Drosophila melanogaster: one gene and its partner. The gene in region 1 interacts genetically with each later gene. Each region holds a gene or a part of one and is shown on either strand. Other genes may lie near its edges. The genes, in order: bun and upd3.

Region 1 (10,152 bases):
TTGGACACTGAGGTTAAGTCGCATCGCACCCTGCTGAATCGCAATTCGCACCCCATCAAATGGCGGGGCGTGAAGCCAATGGAAGGCCCGGCAAATCCGTGTAGATCGGAGATGGGTCCTGCGGAAGGTCCTTTGGGGGGGGGGGGGGTGAAACGGTTGCTTGAATATTAATTGTGCATATGTAGACGAAGACCGGAATGAAAGACCCCAGCACAAAGGGAAAAACAAATGCGCAGACTTACGAATGCAGGCGACGTGCATGGCCACTGCCAGGATTGATGCAGTGTGTCCTGGCACTGGCGATGGGGGCATTGAGTCCTCAGATCTCTGAGTCAGAATCTAATAGATTTCTGCCAAGTGTCGAGATAAAAACATAATGCGAAGGCGGCGGGCTGTCAAAGGGAAATTACTTATACGATGCGGAAGCGGATGATGAGTATGTCTCTCAGGGGAATCCAAGTAGGTATGCCACAATGCATTAAATACCTTTCGCAACTTTAATTAGAAGAAGAATTAAAGTAAGATTTAGTTCATCAATGGGTTAACTAGTAGCATTTTTAAGGCTAAAAATTATTCAAAAAATTGTATTATTTTGAATCAAATCCAAAAGAACTATTTCATTTTGATCCCAATGAAGCACAATTTGTTGCGCCTTACGTGTTGCAATCATTCAACAATTGCGACACTTATGATTATGTGCACGCCCTCAAGAGCCGTCAACCCCTACCAAAATCAGATGATAGATATCCATAGGATGGTATGGTGAAAAAGTGTGGCTGGTAAACAACCCCAAATAGCCAAAAATATTTAGCCATAATTTCCGACCAGACTTATCCACTACGAGATCTACTGGGCAAAAAAAAAAGAAATACTGAGCAAACGAAACATTTAATGAGCTTTGAAATTGTTTTTTTTCTTTGTGCGCCTAATTTAGTTCTGCAAAATGAAAACCATTGAAAATGAAAGGGAGCTCCACAAATCAGGAAAAGTTGTTATATTCCATAATGCTAGTCATAAATTATGGGCAATTAATATGTAACACGTTAGATTCGAATGCGATTGAACAGCCTCTAATGGCCAAGTCCTTTGGCCATTTGTCAGCCTGGATTTGGCCATAAAAAAGCTATCGCTGGATCCCCAAAAGGCCTACGCCCCCGTAAACTCCTTCACTTTCGCTTTCCAGATAAATCACCATTAAAAAAACGGAACGCGTTTCGCAACGGACAATCCGCTGGCCAAAGGGACATAAAATAAAATTAACTTAAAAAGCAAATTCACGCAGACATATTTTATGTGGCAATGTGGCAATTCGGCTTTTTTTGGCTCATAACTCAATGGGCTAATCCTTTAAATAGGACATTCATGTTATCCTGCCTAGACGTTGCGGCCATTAAAATTAAATTTATATCTAAAAAAGCTACGCAGATAGTCAACTGTCGCTCATATTGATATTTATGACATTTGCAATGCATTGTAAATCCTATTGGATTGTTATTAATGCTTATACGCGTATATGTTTTTTGTTTACTTGTCGGGAATCAGGGAATTGGATTATATATATATATGTTTTGAAAGAAAAAATATTTGTTTTTTGTTGATTATGCTGCACGTATTTAATTTTTTTGCTTATTTTAATAGCTTGATTTGTAGTTTTTCTACGAAAATTGCATTTCTTTACACTGACTAATTTTCTTACAATATCAACTCAATTTACAATTCATTACTGTTTATAATTTCTTTCTTGCACTGGCCGCAGGATATTGGTAAGGACTCTCTCATCCCCCGGCAGCACAAATTCGTGAGGGTTGATTGGAAAGTTTTTGAGCCATCTAATTGGACGCTTTCGCCTTTACGTTTGACATTTTGCGCTCTAAAAAAAAAATGTTTTGCTTAAATTGTTGAAATCCGCTTATGGTCCTTAAAGGACCTCGGCCATTTTGGTGTGTGCCCAGCACGTTTTGTATTCAGTTTCGAATTTCGTTCGCCATTCGAAACTCAAATTGATCGGTTTAAGTTCTATGCTAAGCTACTTAAATGTCCTTAAGTTTCTATAAATGTAAGATGAGCCTGTTTGATGTGCTTTAAGGATATTTCTTCCTTTTTTTCGGATGCTATGTTTTCTCTGTACACTATTTCCCACTCCATCGGCAACTAAAATCGATAATATGCAAATATTTTTTGCATCCCCCACACACACACACGCGCGTAAAACAAACATAAATGTGGCGAGTCCTGTGTCCTTTAGCCTCCCCTCCCCCTCTCCCACACACACACACACACACACAAACTAAATAACTAAATACGCATTAGCATCCTGTCGGATTTTCCTTTATTATTGCCACGGCCGTCGGCGAAACGAAAGAAAACGAGATGCGTGGGAGGCAGGCAGGCGTGGCACGTTGCACGCGCTGCTCCTGCGGCACAGTGGGACAAAAGCCATTTTATCCCAGATTTTTTGAAAGTAAGAGAAATAAGAGGAAATACCTCCCATCAAGTCCAATACCACAAACAACTTAGGGATAATTTCCTACTATATTATATTTGAAGTTAACCAGTAGTATCTATTCAGAAAAATTATAAAAACCAAATTAAATTAAGATAAAATTAAGAACATTACATTTACATTACAACATTAATAACATTTCTGCCCCACTGTGCAGTACCCAGGCAACTGCCAACGTTCCAAATGGCAACAAATTCAAACGAACTTGTATGCAGAGTGTGACTGAAAGCATTATTAATAGAGAATGTCGGCGGCTAAACTCAACCACATATACTGAAAGCACTCACATACACGCAAAAGGGATATAAAAGCAATAAGGACATTCATCTTCATAATTACGGGCAGCGAAATGAGAAGAAAGTGCGAGGATGCGAGGATACGATGTGGCATACGCAGAGAGGGAAATTCAAATGAAACGCAAAAGTTTTGCATATGCGTTGGGGATGTGTATGCTGCCAACGGAGTTGTGTATTTCCACCTACACAGAAGAAAAAAATATTTATACTCCGAATCACAAATCGTAGAAATGAAAACTTCACAGGCAAAGCAATATACTATGTAACTATGTAAACTGTGTAATTGAAAAATTCACAGTCACAAAAAAGAATCTAGAACTTATTTTCGTTTTATCATAATCTGAAATAACATGAGTTATTATATATTATCTATTTTTCAATACAGAAAAATTAAAACAATTTCAAAAAAATATACATATGTAATTTTTTAACCTTTTTCGCTCAGTGTGTGCTTGACCAAATGGGCATCTCATGGAAATGACAGTTAAGCCCGCCAACGTTGGTCACCCCAATGAATGCCGGAGCCAGCATTTTCTTCCCCACGAATGCAATCAAATGGAAATTGTTAAAGAAAAGGAAAAAATGCCAGTGAGCACGATTGAGTGGATCGCAGGACTTTTGGCATTTCACAAGGGTGCAACGCATCGGTCTGCACTAATTACGCACCAAACATGTACGGCAAATCGTCAAACCTTTGAATGCCACAAGCGAAAAAAGGGGCAGTTTTTGGGGGGCGAAAAATGTTTGCCAAATGTTTTTCCTGCCTGCTGCAATTTAAATGAGACGTTGGCCAAATGCGAGGGTGTCGCCTGCAGTCGCTGTGTGAAAGTGGGCGGGGCGGGGCGGGGCTGGTCAGTGGAATTAATTCTAATCCCGAACACGTTCCGTTGCGAACGAAGTGGTCAGTTGCGATATACTATATAAATATATATATAATTGTATATACATGCATATGTACATATATAGAACTCCTTAGTGGAGTTTCAATTGGTGGAGGGTGCGTCGATCATTAGCGTGATTTCTTTCCGCTTTGACAAGAAAATCAGAACGCTTCACTGAACTCCATCAGGACGAAAAAAAAAAGAAAAAAGGAATGTCTTAGTCGAATGGTGTGACTATTAGATACCCGTTAGCCAGCTTAAGAAAGTTGGTAAGAGTTGAATATATTTAAAGTCTTAACTGATTAAAGTTAGCAAGCAGAGTATCAGCAAGGTACTTAATTAAAAGAAGAACCAAAGAGTTAAATAAATGCAAGAAGGTAACAAGCAGCAGTGCGACTATCAGATACCTGTTACTCCACAAAACTTTCTTGAGAAGTCTTAGCGCTAGAACAGGAAATGCTCAAAAGCAGTTACATAATTACTGGCAATAATTTATGTTTATTTTTAAGCTTTAATAAACATCAATAGAAAAATTTAATAGAAAAAATAGAAAACTGAGCGCCAGTTCTATGTATCTATTTTGTTTATAAAAACAAGTAAAGTATACAAATTTAAGCATTGTTAAGGTATTAATTTTCTTAATGATTCAAATTATTTGTTACATATATTTTTATAAAGATTTACCAATCGAATTTTAGTCGTTTGAATTCGCTTAGATTCGTTGAAATTCGCTTCTAAATCAAAGCAAAGAAGCGAACCAATGTAAAATATATGTAAATGTAAAATTGTTGGTTCGGTACTTCGACGCGGGATCTGTTTAACGATTTTTTCAGTGATTTCGACACAAAAAGAGTAACTACTGCAGTTATTTTGCTAATAAAAAATTTAACTATATTATATGATAATTATAGATGATATGATATTAAATATAAATATAATTAAAATTTATAATAGTCCGATTTTTGACCAGAACTTATTATCGACATTATATAAGCCCATTATATACAAAAATGATTCCTAAAACAATCAAATAAAAGTAGAGTTGTGCCACTCGCCTTAGTATAACTTAGTTCTAAAGTATATGTTAATTTTATGTTAAATTCATTTTCGAATAATGGAAAAACGAGCGCCAATGTTGCGCTAGGGATTTCTAAACGATATGTAAACGATATCGTATATCGCACGACAATCGCCTGCGTGTAGAACTTAACAATCGATAGTTGTATTTAGCACAGAACCAAACCAAAAAATGCTAAAATATCAGTTTTGAACAGTATAGTGTGACCGCTATATGTGCCAAAAATCCCGTATTCAGTATTTGGTATTATTATTTGATATTATATTTTTATTGGCATTTTGAGTTGGGACAAAAACGCAAGGCAAGTTGTTGGTCTTTTTCGCTGTCTGCAGACGGATAAAAAGTAAAAGAACGCAAATCGAACGCGCCGCGAACGTATTGCAAAATCGCTTAACTCGCGGCGCCCTTGAAAACGACGAGGAAAAGCGAAAAAAGGCTGCGAGAGCTAGCGCAAAATCGAAGAAAAAACTGTGTATGTGCGTGCGTGTGAGTGTATGAGTGTGACGTGTGCGTCGCTGTGTGTGTGAGCGAGCTGGCATGCAGATGTAGAGATGTGTGTGCGCTGCTGCTGCGGCTGTGTGTGCGTGTAAATTGAATAAGAAAACGGAGCACAAATGGCACTGATGGAAAATTTATATGTGCGCTGAAAAATTAATTTATTTGCAAAAAGCCAAAGAGCTGCGAAAAGTAAAGTGACAAGCGGAGAGATGTGCAAAATCGAAAGAACGAAAAATTGTGGATTGCCGACTCTCTGCAGATTTGAAGAGAGTGGCAGCGAAAGAGAGACATAGAGAGAGAGTTTGTGTATGTGTGGGTGTGAGCCGCCTTTGCCAGGAAAACTAAAAAGAAAAAAATTCCCTGGCGTTAAAATTTGCACAAAAAATGTTGAATTCGATTGTTTGCTTTCCGCAGTTCGGCGTTTCGCTTTTTTTTTTTGCACAAAACTTTTTTCGCCAATTTTTCATGCACGCTTTTTCGTTTATTTAATTCCTCTCTCTCTCTCTCCATCTCTCTCTCACTCATTTTTTCGCTCTCCGAATCGACTCTCTCGCAGTGCTCTCCGCTTTTTGCTTGTGCACAGCCAAGTGTCAAAACTGTCATTTACCTTCCTTTTGTCCGATTAGCAAAACGCAACGAAAAACTAATATCCCATCCAAATTAAATTCGTGGCCGTTCGCTTGTTTTAAGTTTATTGTTTTACGCCAAGAAACAAGTAATTTTAAATTGTTTGACATACGCGTAAGTGTGGTAAAAATGTAAAAGAGAGGCCTTTGCCTCTTAGTGCAACAAATCGATCAGAAAGTAACCAATAAAAAAGCAAAGCAAATCGAAACATGTTTCAAAACGAAGGAAAAATCAGAGAAATTCAATGAAACAAAAGTGCAAAACAGTCGCGTAATTGTTGGTGTGTGTGTGTGTGTGTGTGTCAGCGTGTGTGCCCATCCTTTTGGTCTGCTTCTTCACTTTCGCTCAGTTGTTGTTGCAGCTTGCACTTTGTACCTTAGATTTTTCCCATTTCCTCTTTCCATTCCCATTTCTCCAAAACAGCTGGCCAAGCATTTGATTAACTCCAATATTCCTTCGTTTTCTACTGTATTTTATGTGCCATTTACCTTTGTTTATAATGTCAGCTGGCCCGGCATTGTTGTTTATTTTCTGTTCTGCTTCGCCTTGATTGTTTAGTCAAGTGTTAGTTTTGTTTTTGTGCCATTTTGCAATTTTCTGCTTATTTGCCATCCGATATTATGGGGTAATTTTTTTTTCATATGTGATTTTTAGTAGAAATTCATATAAAAAATTGTGTGTTCTGTTTGGTTAACGGTAACTCGAATTACACACAAGTGTTTAGAATTATGGATACGTATTTAATAACAGCGGTGTGCAATAATAGTAGATTTGCAAAAACCAACCAGCATTTCTGAGAATATTAATTTCTAGTTTATGAACTAAAATATGAAATTCACTCTGTATGAGTACCCTTTTTATACAAACTTGAAATGAATAAATCTGATTAGCTTTGAATGCCCTTGAACCAATCTACAATATCTTCACGATCATAATGATCATCCCTTTTAACGCATCTCCGATTTCAAAGCAAAACAAAATAAACCTCAGGCCAGATCGGTTTTCTTGTCAAGCCGCGTGGCAAATTTTTCTGCTTACCATGCACCATTTTGTAACTATAACTGGACGATATATTTGCGTTTAGGAATCGGATACACTTCAGATTTCTGCCAACTCTTTGATACAACCGATGGCACAAACTCAGAAAGGTTTGGATTGTTTTGCGAGTTACTTTCATAGGTATCGGTATCAAGAAGTTGCAAGAAATAAGCTGGGGTTTCTTGAACAGGGATCTATCTGCATAAAAGAAATGCGTGTGCAGACAGTCACGTCGACCAAACCAGAATTCAATCAGTTCATTTTTTTTTGTAATGTAGGAATTTCGGGGTTGATTGCTAGCGGAAAAGTACCAATCTTTCAACAACTGGTTAACTTTTTGAATGAAACCATCATAAAAAAATAACTAATTATTTTATCTAGGGTATTGTCACTTTCGGTACATTTAACACCTATTTGCACCAATTTTCTTTGATGTCTTGTTGCTTTATTTACATTCTGCGACTCAATTCAATTGAGAAATTATATTCGATTTCAATTGTATCTGAGTATCTCATGGATGCATTGTCATTGTAATCTCTAGCTTGTTGTTGTTCCTTTTGCAGCCGCCTCCTCCTCATCTTCGTCGCTGCTCTTTTCTCGTTTGATAAACATTTTCATTGCCTTCTCTCTGCATACATCGCTCTCTCTCGCTCTTTCGGGTTCTTTTACTTCCTCCTACAACGCCTTCGTTTTTCTTTTCCTTTTCCCTTGCCATTTTTTTTGCATTGTGAATCATTTCCTTGCGGAAAGGAAAAGAGCGAAGAAAAGGTGGGAAGTGCCTGTGGGTGAAAGACAGGAAAGGAAAGTCACTGATTGAAAAGTTATTAACTCGGTTGAATTTTCATTATGCATTATTTAACACCCTGGTGTCCTTAAAGTTCAGTTTTATATCTGTCAGCAAGGTATAAATTTTTAGAGGATTTTTTAGAGGATAACCCATTTATTTTTTGTTTCTATTTTTTGCTCCTAAAGGCCTTTTTTGTTATATCCCATTTTCGTTTTTGTTTTTACCGATAGTCTTAAAGTTTAGTAGGGCTTGATAAGGTTTTGATGGTTTAGCTGAGAAAGCAGCAGTGCATTTTATTACCGTATTTTGTATTGGCAATATATCCTGGCTTACCTTTGATGCACTGCGAACAATCGGGACACCTTTCCTTTTGCTTTTCATCTTCTTCGGCTGCTGCTATCATCATCAATATTGATTACCGGCAGCTGTCCGAGAGCGGGAGAGTGCGAGCGAGCAGCCGCTCTCCTTTTGCGGTTTGTTTGGTATGCGGCCCCCACCCCGTCCCGCCCACTTGTAGGCGCCCACGTTGGTAGGAAGGAGCATGTGGATGTAGATGCGGTTGCGGAGGGGCCAACAGGCTGCTCTCGCTCTCTTGCAGCTCCCGCTCTCCGATTGCAATTTTCTCAACGCGCATTCGCTCGCTCACACTCACTCTCTCTCGCTCGCGCTTGCCTCTTTCTGTACTATCTGTTGTAGTTGCTTTTCATTACATTTGTTGTTGTTGGCTTGCCATCGATTTTATGCTTTGTCGTTGCAATTAGTTCTTCTTCTGTTGCTTGCTTCTTGTCTGCACTTTTAGTTCTCATTTTCTTTTCACCCCATCTCCTTGTTGTTGCTTTTGCTATTGAGGAAGGCAGTGAGCAGAGGCAGAAGTCCTCCTCCTCCTCCTTTCCATTCGCCGATTTGTTTGTGTGCGAAATCTGGTGCCTACAGCGATACTTTGATTATTGACTGCCGGGGGGTTAAAAGGGGTCCCAAGTTTATTGTCCAGAAGATGAGTTACAAGAATGGATACTCCACTTCCAGTGGTTCTTGATGAATTGGGTATTCTGGTTCGGTTTGGGTGTGCGCTTTTTCAATGGATTAAATTCTCTAATTGAGCCAATTTCGTCTAGATTAATTATCCATTCTAAAGAGCTATTGGTTTTCATTCATAACAACTGATGCCCAATTACCACAACTTTACTCCCTCAAATTATATTCGAAATCAACTTAAGTTGAAGAAGAAGCTTTGGGCCAACACCTGCGTGGCTCAAGAACAAGGCCAATAGACTCTTAAACCCCCAACAAACAGCAGGCCAAAAAACTAAAAAAAAAAAACAAAAACAAAAATACCCACCTTGAGAGAGTGCTACGACCAATGTTGACCTATAACTGATTTTTTGTTATTCAGTTGTTCTTCTGGTTTGCTGGTTTTGTTGGTTGTCTCTTTTTTTCGACTCTCCTAGCCACAGAATAATCAGATTTTTTTGCGTCGTTTATAACTCGATTAGGCAAAAGAAATAAAACAAAATTAAGCGAGAGAGAAAGAATAAAAGAGCAGCGTCAAGGTCTTGACTTTGCCTTCTGGCAGGGCAAACGCAGAGTTCAAACGCCACTACAGTAATCACTCAAAAGTCTATATATGAATTATTATATAAGTTTAGTATTCAGGTCAACAAAATGTCCCTCTAAACAAAACCGTTGTATGAAAGATATTGTTTTGTATATTTAGATATTGCTTTAATGACTCAATATTGAATATTCAATTTGATCTTCTTATTTTTGCTTAAGACCAAAAAAAAATTAATTCAAATTTTCTAAAATTTAAAAAACGATGGTTAATTATGAAGAATCCTTATCGAGGGCCCACTTTACTTAAACACACAAGTACACTCTCTTCTAAACAGTCCACGCAATTTATGAATGATCGTCGAAAAGCTTACGGTTATTAACCAACACAAGTGCGGAAAAAACGGCGCGTGTGCCCGAAAATGTTTGCAAAACTTTTTCGGCAACATTTTTTTTCGCGAATCATTTTGTGGGTTGCCTTTTTTATCTCTATCTCTTTGGTTAGCGGACTCATTTCTGATTTCCGTAAACGAAATCGATTAAATAATGAGCGAGGGCGAAAAAATCAATGCCGAGAGCAAATAAATATTTGAATATTCAACTGCAAATGCAAAAGATAATAAGACAATCAGCTAAAAATGAAAGGAGACTAAAAAAAAGTGTTAACAAACAAACAGACATTTGGCTTCTTTTTTCTCACTGGTTCGGAAGGAAACCCCCTCCGTTAAAATCTCCTTCCTCTAATGTAGCACTTAACTAATTCAACAAAACTACGACGTACCCCCACAACACCGACAACTCAATGAAATCAATAATAAAAAAAAAAAACTGAGGCGAAACAAAAAATAATGAAAAGCACACAAAAGCATCATCAACATCGTCATCATGATGAT
Region 2 (13,206 bases), on another chromosome or scaffold:
ATCAGAAACTCCACGCGAATCGTTTTACAATCGGAACTATTGGAGTTACTGGACACTGGACACACGCCCTGGTGGGCGGTCTTCGCGCCACGCCCCCTTCGCCGCTGAGCCACCGAACCACTGGAGGCTTGGGAACACTTAGGGAACATAAATGTAACGCCATTATCGGAGGAAATCTGCAGCGGAAAACATAACTCAAAAATACACACGGCGAATACAAGTTAAATATAAAATAAGAGGGGGAAAAGCAAGAAAAACACACAAATGAAATAAGATATTTTAAATTAATTGCCGTCGCACTGTCGACCAAGATCACAAAAAATCTGAAACAAAAACAGTTCCCTGCACGTGACTTGTGACGGGCCAAGTTGGACACAAAATATCCAGAGATTTAAAACTGAACAGAAAACAGAAACAAAACAAAGTGAACATTTAGATTAGATCTGTGCAGGCGCAAAAGTTCATTCAGCAGGAGCCAGGAGAGGAGAGGTCCCAAAAACAAGGGAGCCTGGCTCTCGACAGCACGGATACCCATTAAAGGAAGAGATGTTAGTTCTTAAGACAACATAGCAAGTTTGGGATGTAAAAAGTAGAATCGCGTTGAATTTAAATATAAAATATTTCTGAGATTATACAGTTGTTTTGTATAAAGTATCTACGAAGTTATATTCGCATTTGGAATTCTTGATGGTTATCCTTTATAAGGACATCATTAATAGTTTTCTCGGTGGTTCGGTCATTAAAAGCACCAAAATACCATAAAACAAGCCACTAATTTCTATAAGTACTCAACCCTTGATACCTTTGTTCCCACAATACGCACCATAATGCATATGCCCCGAAAAACAAGGGGTTTCCGGAGAGGGAAAGAGAGGGAGCGAAAAAGAGAGAGAGACAGATCGAGTGAGAGGGGTGAAGGCATTTCAACATTTCTCATAGAAAGACATAATTTTCAATTTAATAAAGGTCAGGCCAATAAAAACCTATCAAAACTGAAGATAGATGTGCGCTACGTGCACCTGAAAGGGACAAAAGGGTTGACGCAGCCTGCATGCAAAGCAGCCAGAGGGAGAGGGAGCTATCGGCGGATGGCCATGAATGGGATCGCATAGTTGCATGTGCGCCTCATTCGGATGGATCTCGGACCTGGCCAAGATCACTGGCCACAGATCTTCGCCAGATCAGCGGACGACGGAGAGGCTGCCGCAGGGAGAGCACACAATAAAATCAGACCGATAACCATCTTTACTGGAGACGCAGACAGAGATGGAGATGGCGATGGAGAATGGGAATGCATCCCTCTCTGTCGCTCTATCTTTGGCATATTAAATTGTTGAATCAGTCACCGAGAAGGAGTCGGAGTAGGAGTAGCTGATGCAGTTGGAGATGGAGGAGCTGTGCTGGGCAGACAAATCGGAGCACGTACACCGAGTCCGAAATTAATGACAATTGCTGATTGTGTGCGATAAACCCGATTCGGGTACTCCGGCAAACCGCAGTGGAGAACATCAAAAATCCAGGGCTCAGTGAAGGTGCGCGCGTAGATTCCGGCCCAGCGATAAGGCCGGGAGAATTGGAGATCTGTGAAAGGAAGAGCCGAGAAGGGAGATTCGGGAACGGGGAATGGAGAATGGAGAATGGTGAATCAAGAGCGGCGACAAACATTTCTTGTCGTTAAATCGCTGGTGTTTTGTGTGCAGCTGACAAAAAGGGACAAAGGTGACCCCGACTCCAACTCCGACTACGACTACGACCTCGATTCCGATTCCGATCCCGATCCCGATCCCGACCCAAGCCAAAAACCCAAACCCAAAACCCAGGGGAGAGAATTATTATATGGCTCATAAAATATTTGAACAAGTCTATAAATGCCGCGTAATTCTGCTGCAATTAAAGCCACGGCGACGATCGTAAAGGGGAATTGTTTGGACACTTTTATGTCTCTCTTACATCTCATCCAGCACGGTGCGTATGCGCAATTTCGGTGGGAATATATCTCGTATATACTATACCCCCACACATGAGTGTAATTGATATGGCGCCAGGAGAGGACCACCCAATCCGCAGATAAACTCTCGATGCATTTGTACTTTCAATGGTTTGTATTTGTATATTTGTATATTTGTGTTTGTATTTGATGTCTAAAATGTTAATTCCTAATCAAAGCTAAGTTACATAGAGGTGTAAATCGTACATACATATATCAGTGTGTAAATATAGTCGGGGGAGATATATAGCTTGTGGCCGTCGCGGAGCGTTGTGTTTACTTTAATCATCTACTATCACAGCATCGTAATACAAGGCAAAGTATATCTAGTATACTTAGTATCTAGCGGAATGTGCGGCAGATTGTTGGCGAGTTGCAATAATAAATAATACAATGGGACTTAAAGCTATCAAAAAAAAAAAAAAAAAATAATAATAATAAATTTAGTCGGAGAAAACATTACTATCGTGTTAGAATATCGAGAAAACTGGGTATCTCAAATTCACGTCTGTGGTGGATTGTTCACATTACTTATTCGGTTTTTCATAGCCTTGTGATTGTCGGGGATTCCTCGTGATTTGTCGTGACTGGTGTGGCGTGGCGTGAGTAATAAATATTGGATGTTTAATAAATTAAGGATGTCTTCATGGAATGAGCCTCGTTGTGTGGAATGGAGGTTTCGCCGGTTCTGAGCTCTTGGCTATAGCTACTTTCTACTTTCTACTCTCTGCTCTCTGCTCTCGTCTAGAGTTTCTTCTGGATCGCCTTTGGCACGTGGGTGGTCGCCTTGCACAGACTCTTACGCTGGTTCGCGAGTATCTTGCGGATACTCTTGAGATACTGCACAAACTTCAGTTTGGTGAAGAGGGCGTGCTGCTCCAGGACCATCAGGTCGTCGGGCGGTGGTGGTACATCCTCCCCGCGTGCGGCCAAGGTCGCCTGCTGGTGCAGCTCCACGAGTGGCACCAACGTCGAGTTGAACTGCTGCAGACGCTTCTCCATCAGCTTGCGCGGCAGTATCTTGTAGGTGACCACCGGTTGGGCCTGGCGCCGCTTCTTCTGGCCCCTCGGCTGTGGCGCCCGCTGCCTGTTGGGTGTGTACAGCAGGTTGGTCAGGTTGATGGCCTCCTCCACGCTGCAGAGCACCTCGCGGGCGGACTTCCGCATCCTTCCCAGCTCGTCGGAGAGCACGCTCTTCGCCTGCAGGTTGGCCAGGTCCCAGTGCAACTTGATGTTGCGCATGTACGTGAAGGCGCCCACGTAAATCTGCAGGTCGCGATGGGCGTGGCGAAGGTTCAACTGGAATGGGCAAGGAAAAAGATTGGAAGCGGGTTAGTTAAATTGATTTGTCAAGAAATATGAATACTATGAATGGGAACATGACTAATTGATAACTTTGATCTGCAATGAGAGGTTCTCTGTTGATAAGAATCTATGGATTCATATTTGTACACCCATTTTATATATACTAGTTTTTAGATTAAATTAAGTGCTCTATTTATATCATTAACTGTCCATGAACTTGTAAACTTATATATTCCCAACTTAATCATCATAGTTACCCCAACCCATATTGGAGATCAACTCCATAATCCTTGATTATATCAGCATAGAATTGAAAATAAAACAATTATATGGCAAAGTATGATATTTTTAAGTATTTAACGCCTTAATTACTTGTATCGCCATGAATGAAGGTCGGGGTTATCTTTATTGAATAAACCTTTTTCTGCACTCGCTTGCAATAAAAATCCCCAATTGTAAAATTAAAGTATTAGAAACGGCGAAACCTTGGCGGAAATTGCGATATCCATATCGCATATGGTGTATATAGTCGATCCTATAGTTCGAATTTTTTGGGTTGAGTGAACTGAGCCCACCAGCCCCTTTGCGGACCCCCCCCCCCCCCCCCTCCCATCGCACACACACTCCCCTCATCCCAACGACCAGAAACTTATCTGGCCGGCGGCTGAAAGTGAAAATCAAGCCGAACGCTCGCGCCGCTCTCTCGTAACTGTTTTTTGAGTTCTCGGCTACGCTTCGGCTGGCCGCTCGTGACGTCGACGTTGGCTCTTCGTTTCATTCATGTCGCGCTCGCCGCATGCCGCCGCTCACCCTTTCCCGCTCCCGCTCCCGCTCCCGCTCGCTCTCGCTGGAGTTTCGGGGGAATCCACGGCTCTGTTTCATATGAATCACATATCGCGTATACGCTCCGCGCCCCGTATCCCCCCGATCAACGACCACAAACGGCGTGTGTGTGTCATTTGCAATAAACGAGCGTTGTGAACTACTCAAACATATTATCGTTAAGGTCATTTCTTCTTCCGAACCGATCCGCTGCGGTATCAGCGAATTCGTTGTTTTCCTTTTTTTTTTTGGGTGGGTATGAGCGAATGCATGACGTCAAAAGGCCGTCGATTCTCGGTATCGAAACGATCCATCTAAATATAGAGTTCTTCTATCAGTCCCGTTTGCCACCTCGTCGTCGGATCGGGTTCCGATCTGGGGGTTCCGTTTCACTCTGTTCCGGGGATGTCAACAATTAGTTGGCACAATTGGCATTGACGTAGCCGATATTGGCCAAATATTGACACACATCCCGAGCGGCAAGTTCCCGAGCTTGGTGCAGAGTGAGAAAAGGTGGATCGACTGGTCGAATCGAGTAGTGTGTGATCAAAGGTATCTACTGAAAAACTCAACACGAAAGAGTACTTATAAGCAGCGAAGGCAGTCAATTGTTACCCTCATTTTCTCACAGTGTGATCCGCGAGGCCCAGGTACTTTTCCCAGACTATGACGACAATTGAGAAATTTCAGCGAAAGCCAAACTTTGCTCATCGCCCTGAATAGACGATTGAGTGGAATCGCTGGCTAAGTGAATGAATGGATGAAATGGAATGGCAACTATGATGGGACTGGCTAAGTTTAGCAGAACGGGTAATTAAAAAAAAAAATAAAAACCAAATTCCCAGGGGGTGGCGACCTTTGAGACTCCACTTGCACTCTGAACGCGACTTTTGGCTGACTCGAAGTGAGTCGGCGGTTTTCGCGGATCTTGACCACACTTGAGATTTTTCGCCGCACCTGCGATCTCATAAAAGTATCTGTTTATGGCCACGCCAAGTGAACTACACTCATCTGGTTATCTGCAGATATTACTGTCCTATACGAAACTTTCCCGGACACCAAGGAATTAGCACGTTGGGGCAACCAAGCCGATCTCGACCGATTCACGAAGCGACATCCACCTCATTGAAATGTGGACTAGACCCTTTCTAGTGCACGGCGTTTGTCATACTTGGTCACGTATCGACTGGTACTCCGTGGCAATCATTTCGCAAGTACCGCCATCCACATTCCGGAGCCCACATTCTATATTACTTCCATTACTTCCATTATTCACTGGCCTATCGGTCACTCCGGGTTTTTCCTCAACTGGTCTTGCTCATTTCACCGTGTCAGTGCGAAAATATTTCCGAATTCCCAGACCCCGACAATTTGGCATTACTAAACGGTTCCACTCTATTAACATCAAACTGTCCGCAACTCGAGGGTCTCGAAATTGAAAAGCTCCATAATTTTCCTCTCGCCATAATTCAGATGTCCGTGGCGAATCCAATTCGAAATTTGATTAGCTTCTGTTTGTTGTTGTTTACTTGTCAAAAGTGTAAATAAAATGTGCCGCTTGATTTTATTTTGTTTATTCAACAAATTATCCACTTCAGATACGAATTGAGATTCGGATTGAACTTCGTTTTCAGATTCAGATACAGCTTCAGCTTCAGCTTCAGCCTCAATTCGGATCGATCCAATCTACGGATTGGCCATAAAACGTGATCGCTGGATCAAGGCCGGTTTGGGGGGGATCGCGATGGATCTATATAAACAATAATCGAAAAAAAAAGCGCGCGCGCCGTCAATTTGCTCTTAATCTTAATGTGGTTATGGCATCGATTGCTAATGTTTTCCCTCGTGCTGTTGTTGTTTGCTACCAATGCAAATCGACGGTTAATGGGGCGTCCCGAAATGCCGGCTAATGCTGACAAAACGAACGAGGTGCGATCGAAAAGTTGGCGGCACTTAAGTGCTCAATGCAAGTTGCTGTTGGAAGTGTTGTCAAAACAACTCCATCATCAAGCTAGCACATATGAACTATATACATATCTCAATCTTTATTTCCTTAGTTTCCTTCATACCCCTCTATATAGATTGATAAATTCCCTTAATCACGCAAACAAACTATGGCAACAACTCTCGCGGCTGGCGGCACGATTCCCTCGGATTCGGACTCATATGACCGCTCCACTCGCCATTAGCTTGTGACGGCCTGTTTGCACCTACGCAGGTGAACGGGGCGAACGCCTCACGTGACCCTCTTTTTTATCACCTCAAGCTCCCTGGCAACAGAAGAACCCCCCGCGAGTGTTTGATGTTTGTAAATGATCCAGTAGTTCTTCACATGACGATATATGCATACATATATTATGCTTATGGCATATGGACGACACTCACCTGTTTGCTAGTGAGATTCAGACGGGGCAGGAATCTGTAGTTTCCCTTATAGAATCGCCACTTGTTCTTCTCGACAATGTCCAGAGTCTTGGTGCTCACTGTGGCCAGCTTGTCCGCATTGGTGGTGATCCTGGCCTTGTCCTCGGCCTGGATGCCCCGCAGCTCGCGGCCCGTTTGGTTCTGTAGATTCTGCAGGATCTGAAATAGATACAAATACATATATACATATAGATAATAGTGTGTGAATTAGTTGTGCCAATTTATTTATCAGCTAAGAGCCAACTTTCGCTTGAAACTTACCCTTTGGCGTTTCTTGCAGCGTTTCGCCTTGCTGTGCGTTTCGTTCAGACCCGTGGGCTTCAGATTGCAGGTGTTCTCCCAGTCCAGATGCGTACTGCTGGCATTCAATTTCTGCTGGAAGGTCAGCCGGAAGTTGGCCGCTCTGGAACGCTTCTGTAGGTGCTTCAGGGGATTGGTGGGATTGATGGGACTGGAGGGGCTGTCAGTGGGCGGGGTGGCCAGGTGACTGGGCGCCGCTGAGACGCCACAACCGCCGCCGGAGAGGGCAAACTGGGACATGGCCAAGGCGAGTAAGATCAGTGACCAGTTCCTGTTCAGGCGTCGTCGTCGATCCACGAACGGCGGTTGCGGCTGCGGTTCCACTGGATTCCTGGTTCTGGCCGTTTTGTTACCGCTCCGGCTACCGCTTCCGCTGCTCCTGCTGACGTCGAGCGGGCGGTCAGCTGTCGTCTGTGGATGGAAAAAGTTCCGAAATAAGCTAAACAAAATTTATACAAACACGCAAAGCCCTCAAGATAACACAGTTTCATTTTTTTCCCACCCATAATGGCTCGAGTTTCACTACGACTTCTTGACGTCACATCTTCGTCAGACGTCGTCGGTGTTTAGCATGAGAAAAGTCTAGCAACAGGTTATACTATTATTAGTTACCAAAAAAAAAAAAAAAAAAAAAAAATCAAATACGTATGTTCGATTTTCAGTTATTTACATACTCAAACTTTGGCCGAAAAGAGGGTTCGGTTGGCCAAATGTATTCCCCCTGCCGAGGGACCAATTACCATAAGTCAAGACTAACGGACGCTGCGCGGACAACTGAACTGAACCGACTGGTTATATATTATCTTGGCCAACTTTTGCCAAATATAAACCAAAATTCGCGCACGTGATGGTACGGATGTGTGATTGTGGTGCGATTGTTTTGTGTTATTTTGTGTGTGTTAGTGCCTGAGTGGGCGAATTATGATGATTGTTGGCTGCTTGGGGATTCCCGCTGGACGCACTTATGCGCAAACCCATACGCACACATATAAATATAATCGCAATTGTTTGGGGGGCCCGAAGCATGCGCGATTTGTTATTATTATCGTTTGCGCTTTAGCTACAGCTACGGCCATTGCTAGTGCCGTCTTTATCTGGCTGAAATAATTATTTCAAATTAAAAATAAATTTCTTTATTTAGCCAAATTATCATGAATCATCGTGTGTCGGGTGGAGGTCGACTTGCAAAGGTAGTGGTGATAGTGGTGCCACCGCACTGGCGGTGGCGGTGCTATCTCATATTGTCTGGTGGGGTAGGCTCCAATCGCTCCACACGCCTCCTACACATCGAGCAGCATGGTCAACGAAACATTGGTCTTGCAAACTTTTGTGAAATTCACTCTCTCTTGCCGTGCGTTTTCGCTCTCCGGCTCTTTATCGCGGTCCCTTTGCCCGGACCTTGTCCTCCTGTCTGTGCCGAATCGCTAACGCTTGTAGTGACAACCGCTGACGCATCCAATCTTCAATTCCTGCCAAACACCAGCAACACCAGCACCACCAGCACCACCAGCACCACCAGCACCACCAGCACCACCAGCACCACTGGCACCACCACCCCCGCGGCACGAAACGTGTAAATTAATTTCACATGTTTCGCTCTTTTTTTGGCCATTTTTCGTCAAAAGGGTTTTTTTTTACAGTTGCAATAACTATTAAGTTAGTTGCATAAGTTGTGTGGTTGAATGGAACAATAAGTTCCCAATAAGTTAGAATAGTAATAGCAAATAAATGCAAGTCGCCCCTGTACGATTAGTCATACTCATCCGAAAATAACGTCCATAGGTTTTCAAATAACTTTGGGTTTTTCATAATTGTAATAACTTTAAAATGCTATGATTCACATGTGGAAAAATGAACTTAACATATTGTGCATCATGAATTTATAACTTGTTTTCAATGCCTATCACCAAACAGTGTCAGTGATTCACGAATGAGTTTCCCCCATGAGAGGCTGGAGATGATGGTCCCTTTCGGTTGTGAGCCCTATCCCCATCTCCAATCCCTAAACCCATCACACCTCCTCCTTGGGGCCAATTTCATCATGTGTGGGGTACGTGACACCTCACCTGACCATTGCAGCTCTTGGCAAGAACTCTGCGGGTTCAGAAGTATCGAGCGAAAGACACCTGTACCTATCAACAAACCGAGCACGCACAGGTGAATTCTCTTATCGGCAGCAGAAAAGGCAAATATAAAATCCCCGAAAAAATACGCGCCTGCGGTAGTTACTTGTACTTACCATTTACATAAAAATCGTTGGCTGGGAATTCCGCACAAAAATTCGTACTTGATTGACACGCACTTTGCTTTTGTAACGCTGTTAGTCTTTTCTTTGTGTGTATTTGCCGGAAAGAAGCTTCCAGAATGCAACGGGGAAAAAAACGAAAAAAAAAACTAACCAATAATAAAAGCGATCGCGATTTGGCGAATTTGGCGAATCAGGCGAATCAGGCGACTTTGTCGAATTTGTTGAATTTGTTGAATTTGGCTGCGTATCTTTGTATCTTTATATCGCGGCTGGACGAACTATCGCGTTAAGTGTCGACGCGCTGCCTTCGACTGTCTGCTATGATTTGATTCCGATTCGATCGAAGTCGAAGTCAACAGCGCTGTCGATTTCTTGCCGCTGGAGAGCGTGGAGTGGAGTGTTGTGGAGTGGATTGGAGTGGCTTTCTCGCCGTCTTTGCGTTGTTTTTTTGTACAATTTTTGCAGTAGCGTTTCTTCACTTTTTTTTCGCCTTTTCGCGTGCAGTGGTTATGTGTGTATATATATTTAGTTTTTTGTTTTTGTGGCCGGCGGAGACTGACTGAACTCCTCAGTTACTATGAGCATACTAATGAGGAGGCGGACGCCCAGTCCGCCGGTCATGTTCGCTCCGCTCGAATCGCCAAAGAAGCGGAAGAGAGACAGGGAGAGGCTCTCTCGGCTGTCATGAGTGTGCAATCGCAAGAAAAGCGCTCAAAACATTCGCCGAGTGCCAAAAACAACGCGAGAAAGCCATAAAAAAGCACAGCTGAGCGATAAAAAAAAACAAAAACGACTCATAGCGGCTGGGTGTGGACAATGGGTTACCCTGTACCCAGGGTACTAGCAACTAGGAGCAATAAGATACGCTGAAGAAAGCATGGAAAAAAGCAGAAGAAAAGTATAACTTTAACTAACTTTAGTTAACTTTAATAATACTAAATATGAGAGATAACATCTAAACTAGGCAACAACAAGTACAATCATCCAATAGCTATTCGATTGAGACCAATATTTGGTTAGTGAACTAGTAACAAATGTCATAAATATTCTATATTACGGCCATTCCGAACATAATAGATTTATTACCAATATTACCCAGTCGTAATGGGCGTGAAAAATACAAACGTTTAGTGAATGATTAGGCCAGCTAGATTTCAACACGATGAGAAATACTCACAGCTCTCCAGCGCTCCCCTTTGGGGGATGACACATAATCGGCGCACTGGAGTGGAGTGATTGATCGATTCGTCGACTGGGCCGATCTCCACCAGATAAGGTCGCTGGGAGAGCTATTCACTGTCTCTCCCGCTCGCAGATAAACAAAACATGTGTAATTTGCCTATTTGCCGGTCTCTGGGGAACGAAATGAGCGGCTACTTGGCTCTTATCGAATGACTTTCACTCGGCACACACTTCCGATTCACCGTTTCTCCGGATCTCCCGTTCTCCGATTTCGATTCCGAGACGATCGTTTCCGATCCGAAGCGAAACGATCCATTCCGTTCCGTTTTGTTCCGTTCCGAAGTAACCCCCGCAAATAGTCGGCAATTTATGGGGGTTGGCATGAATTTCAGTTATTTCCGTTCAATTTCACAAGAATATTACTCATACGCTCCGTCGGCCGCCGACAGCCGTCAATGACGACACGATTTGTTCAACCGCGAGCCGGGCTCTCACGCTCGCAGACACGGCGATTCATTCATGATTGCCGACTACGCTCCACCGGTCGACAGAATGCGGATGCCGAGAGGGGGTAGGCGCAACTGCGGGGTGGCGGTCTAAATTTCACCGCGCGCCAAAACCATGATCAATCGAAAAGTAATTGAGCACTCATCGTTACTCATGGCCAAAGTGGCGACGTCTCCGTTTTGTCGTTTACCGTTTACGGTTCACGCTTTGCCGCGTACCATGTACCGTGTACCGCTCACTGCCACTGCCACTCCCACTCGCCGTCGGCCGCCCAACGCCCACCGCTGGCGGCCAAACTTACGGATGGTGATCGGTGTCATGATTTGGCCGAGCTATTTTTAAACCATTGTACGAGGCACACTGGTACGGATCGGGTAACTGCTGCTTTTGATTTCGGCTTATCGTGTTGATCTGTCCAATTGGCGGATATTTCGAATTCGATTCAATTTGATTCGACTCGCTGCGAATTGACCAAAATTGGCCGTGTTTGCGGTATCTATATATATTATATGTATGTATATTATCGCAATCCAATGATTGTCTGTGCCTGCCATTCGGTGGCGTTAGTGTAAAACCCTAATGGCTAATGCATGACAATCGATGACGATGACTGGGGTGCCAGCGGCGGTGGCGTATGAGTAATATTTTTGACGTCTTTTGCCGCAATCATGTGAGACACGCGTGCGGCACATGGGGAAACTCTCGAGACTGTATGAATGGAAATGGAAATTGATTGGGATGTAGTGGAAACAATTTGCGGTTGGGGTGGAAAATTATTATTTTTTTTTTTTTTCACTTCGAAGGGGAAAAACTTGAATGAACTTTGGCTTGACTGGCAGTGTGCATAGTACGTAGACACGTACATAAGCTAACTTGCAATTTTCGAGGGGAAGAACTTTCTCGTTTTACATGTGGAACTAATTAATTACACTGGAAAGCGATCGAAATGCTACATTCTAAGTGGCTCATTAGGTGTATTTCGCGATTGAGCGCAATGGGTATGCTAATGTGCTTCGAGAACGATTTAATTTGGTGGAAAAGTAATCTTGAAATTTTCAGCACATTCAATTGGGTAGCATTCTATCATTTGATTCGGTGAAGCACAACTATACACTAGATTTTCGTAGAATCCCAGGTACAAAAGCCTTGGGAAAATTTCCAAGATATTCATAAGTTTCTATCAATACTTTATATAATTAATATGAATTATATTAAATATCTTCATGGGCATTAACTGAATTACCCGGAGTTTTTCTTTCGTGCAACATGCTGTTGTATAGTCATAGAAGATTCCACTGACCTACATACACGAACTTCCGGCGAGTTCTTCTGATAAGATCAGCTATAAATTGTGTTTTATAGTGCGCCGCGTCAAGTGTTAGCCATTTTATCAAATCGCACTCGAAATGAGTGAGCATAGAAATCATTTCGTTTTTCGGCCATGTGAAAATTCCCCAATAATGATATAATGTCTATCGCGATTGCAATCTTTAGAAATTTCTTGACTAGGCGGTGATAAGACAGCCGCAGAGAACTTTGAACCCGCGACCGTCGGCGAGATGCTGCCAGATGCCAGCTCATCGCGAGGAATTTGAGTTGGCTGTAACCGCATAATGCTAATTTATTGTCCAATCGATTTGAAACAGCAACTAAAGGCTGCAAAGTCAGAGAGTCAGGAGAGCGAAGCAGCGGTGAAAGTGAGTCATAAAAGCAGCGAAATCGCGGGGCCAGAAAACAATGCCAAATATTTTACGGCTAATGAAATTGGTTGCAGTGTCGCAGGGGCGATGGCTCTTGGCTTTTTGCTTGATTTTCCTCTTGTTTTACTCATCGTTCTACGCGCACTCGTTCACTAACTACAATAGTTCATTGATAGTCGCTACACGAGCACCACGTGGCGTATGAGCAATTTGCAATTGCAGATTAATAGCTGGCCGTATTGATACTTCCTGCGCAGAGATGGGGCTGGGCAAAGGGGGGCCAGGGGCATCGCGGGGCCTTTAATGCCCGCCAATTTGGGGGGATACCACACGGCGGTTTTCATCTTTGCCGACCCAACGAAATTTAAAAGTTTCACACATAACAAAGTGCGAAGGATGCAGTCAAAAGAGCCCAAAAAGAGCCAAACTTAATTAGCGCCCATTGCAAAAATATTTACGGCAAAACAAAATAACACCCATTAAGGCAGACCCGGCGGGGGCAGAGGCTTCCCAGGGGGGGCGGGCGGTTGGCCAAGCGGGCACAGGGGGCGGAGTGGCAGAGGGGGGGCGCAAATGCGTGATGATCACCGGGTAACGCCCCTCGACAAAGCCCCAAAAACGGAGCCACAGCAGCAGCAGCAGCCACACCACCACCAGGAGCATTGGCCGAGGGGAGGGTGGCGGAGATATGGAAGATGGATGCATATGGAGCGACCATCAAAGGCACAGTG

What was found.
Region 2: of bun (region 1) and upd3, changing one suppresses a phenotype caused by changing the other (phenotypic suppression), as found in Drosophila melanogaster (one study listed by BioGRID).

Annotation. Positions count from the first base shown.
Region 1 is NT_033779.5:12,541,488-12,551,639, reverse strand, and holds the start of bun (bunched), read left to right. Parts: upstream 1-5,028; 5' UTR 5,029-5,230; exon of another isoform or gene 5,231-5,997; intron 5,998-7,296; exon of another isoform or gene 7,297-7,700; intron 7,701-8,041; exon of another isoform or gene 8,042-8,464; intron 8,465-10,152. UniProt on the Drosophila melanogaster protein: Probable transcription factor required for peripheral nervous system morphogenesis, eye development and oogenesis.
Region 2 is NC_004354.4:18,273,477-18,286,682, reverse strand, and holds upd3 (unpaired 3), read right to left. Parts: upstream 9,451-13,206; 5' UTR 9,081-9,450; coding exon 9,078-9,080; intron 7,250-9,077; coding exon 6,800-7,249; intron 6,698-6,799; coding exon 6,500-6,697; intron 3,287-6,499; coding exon 2,732-3,286; 3' UTR 2,087-2,731; downstream 1-2,086.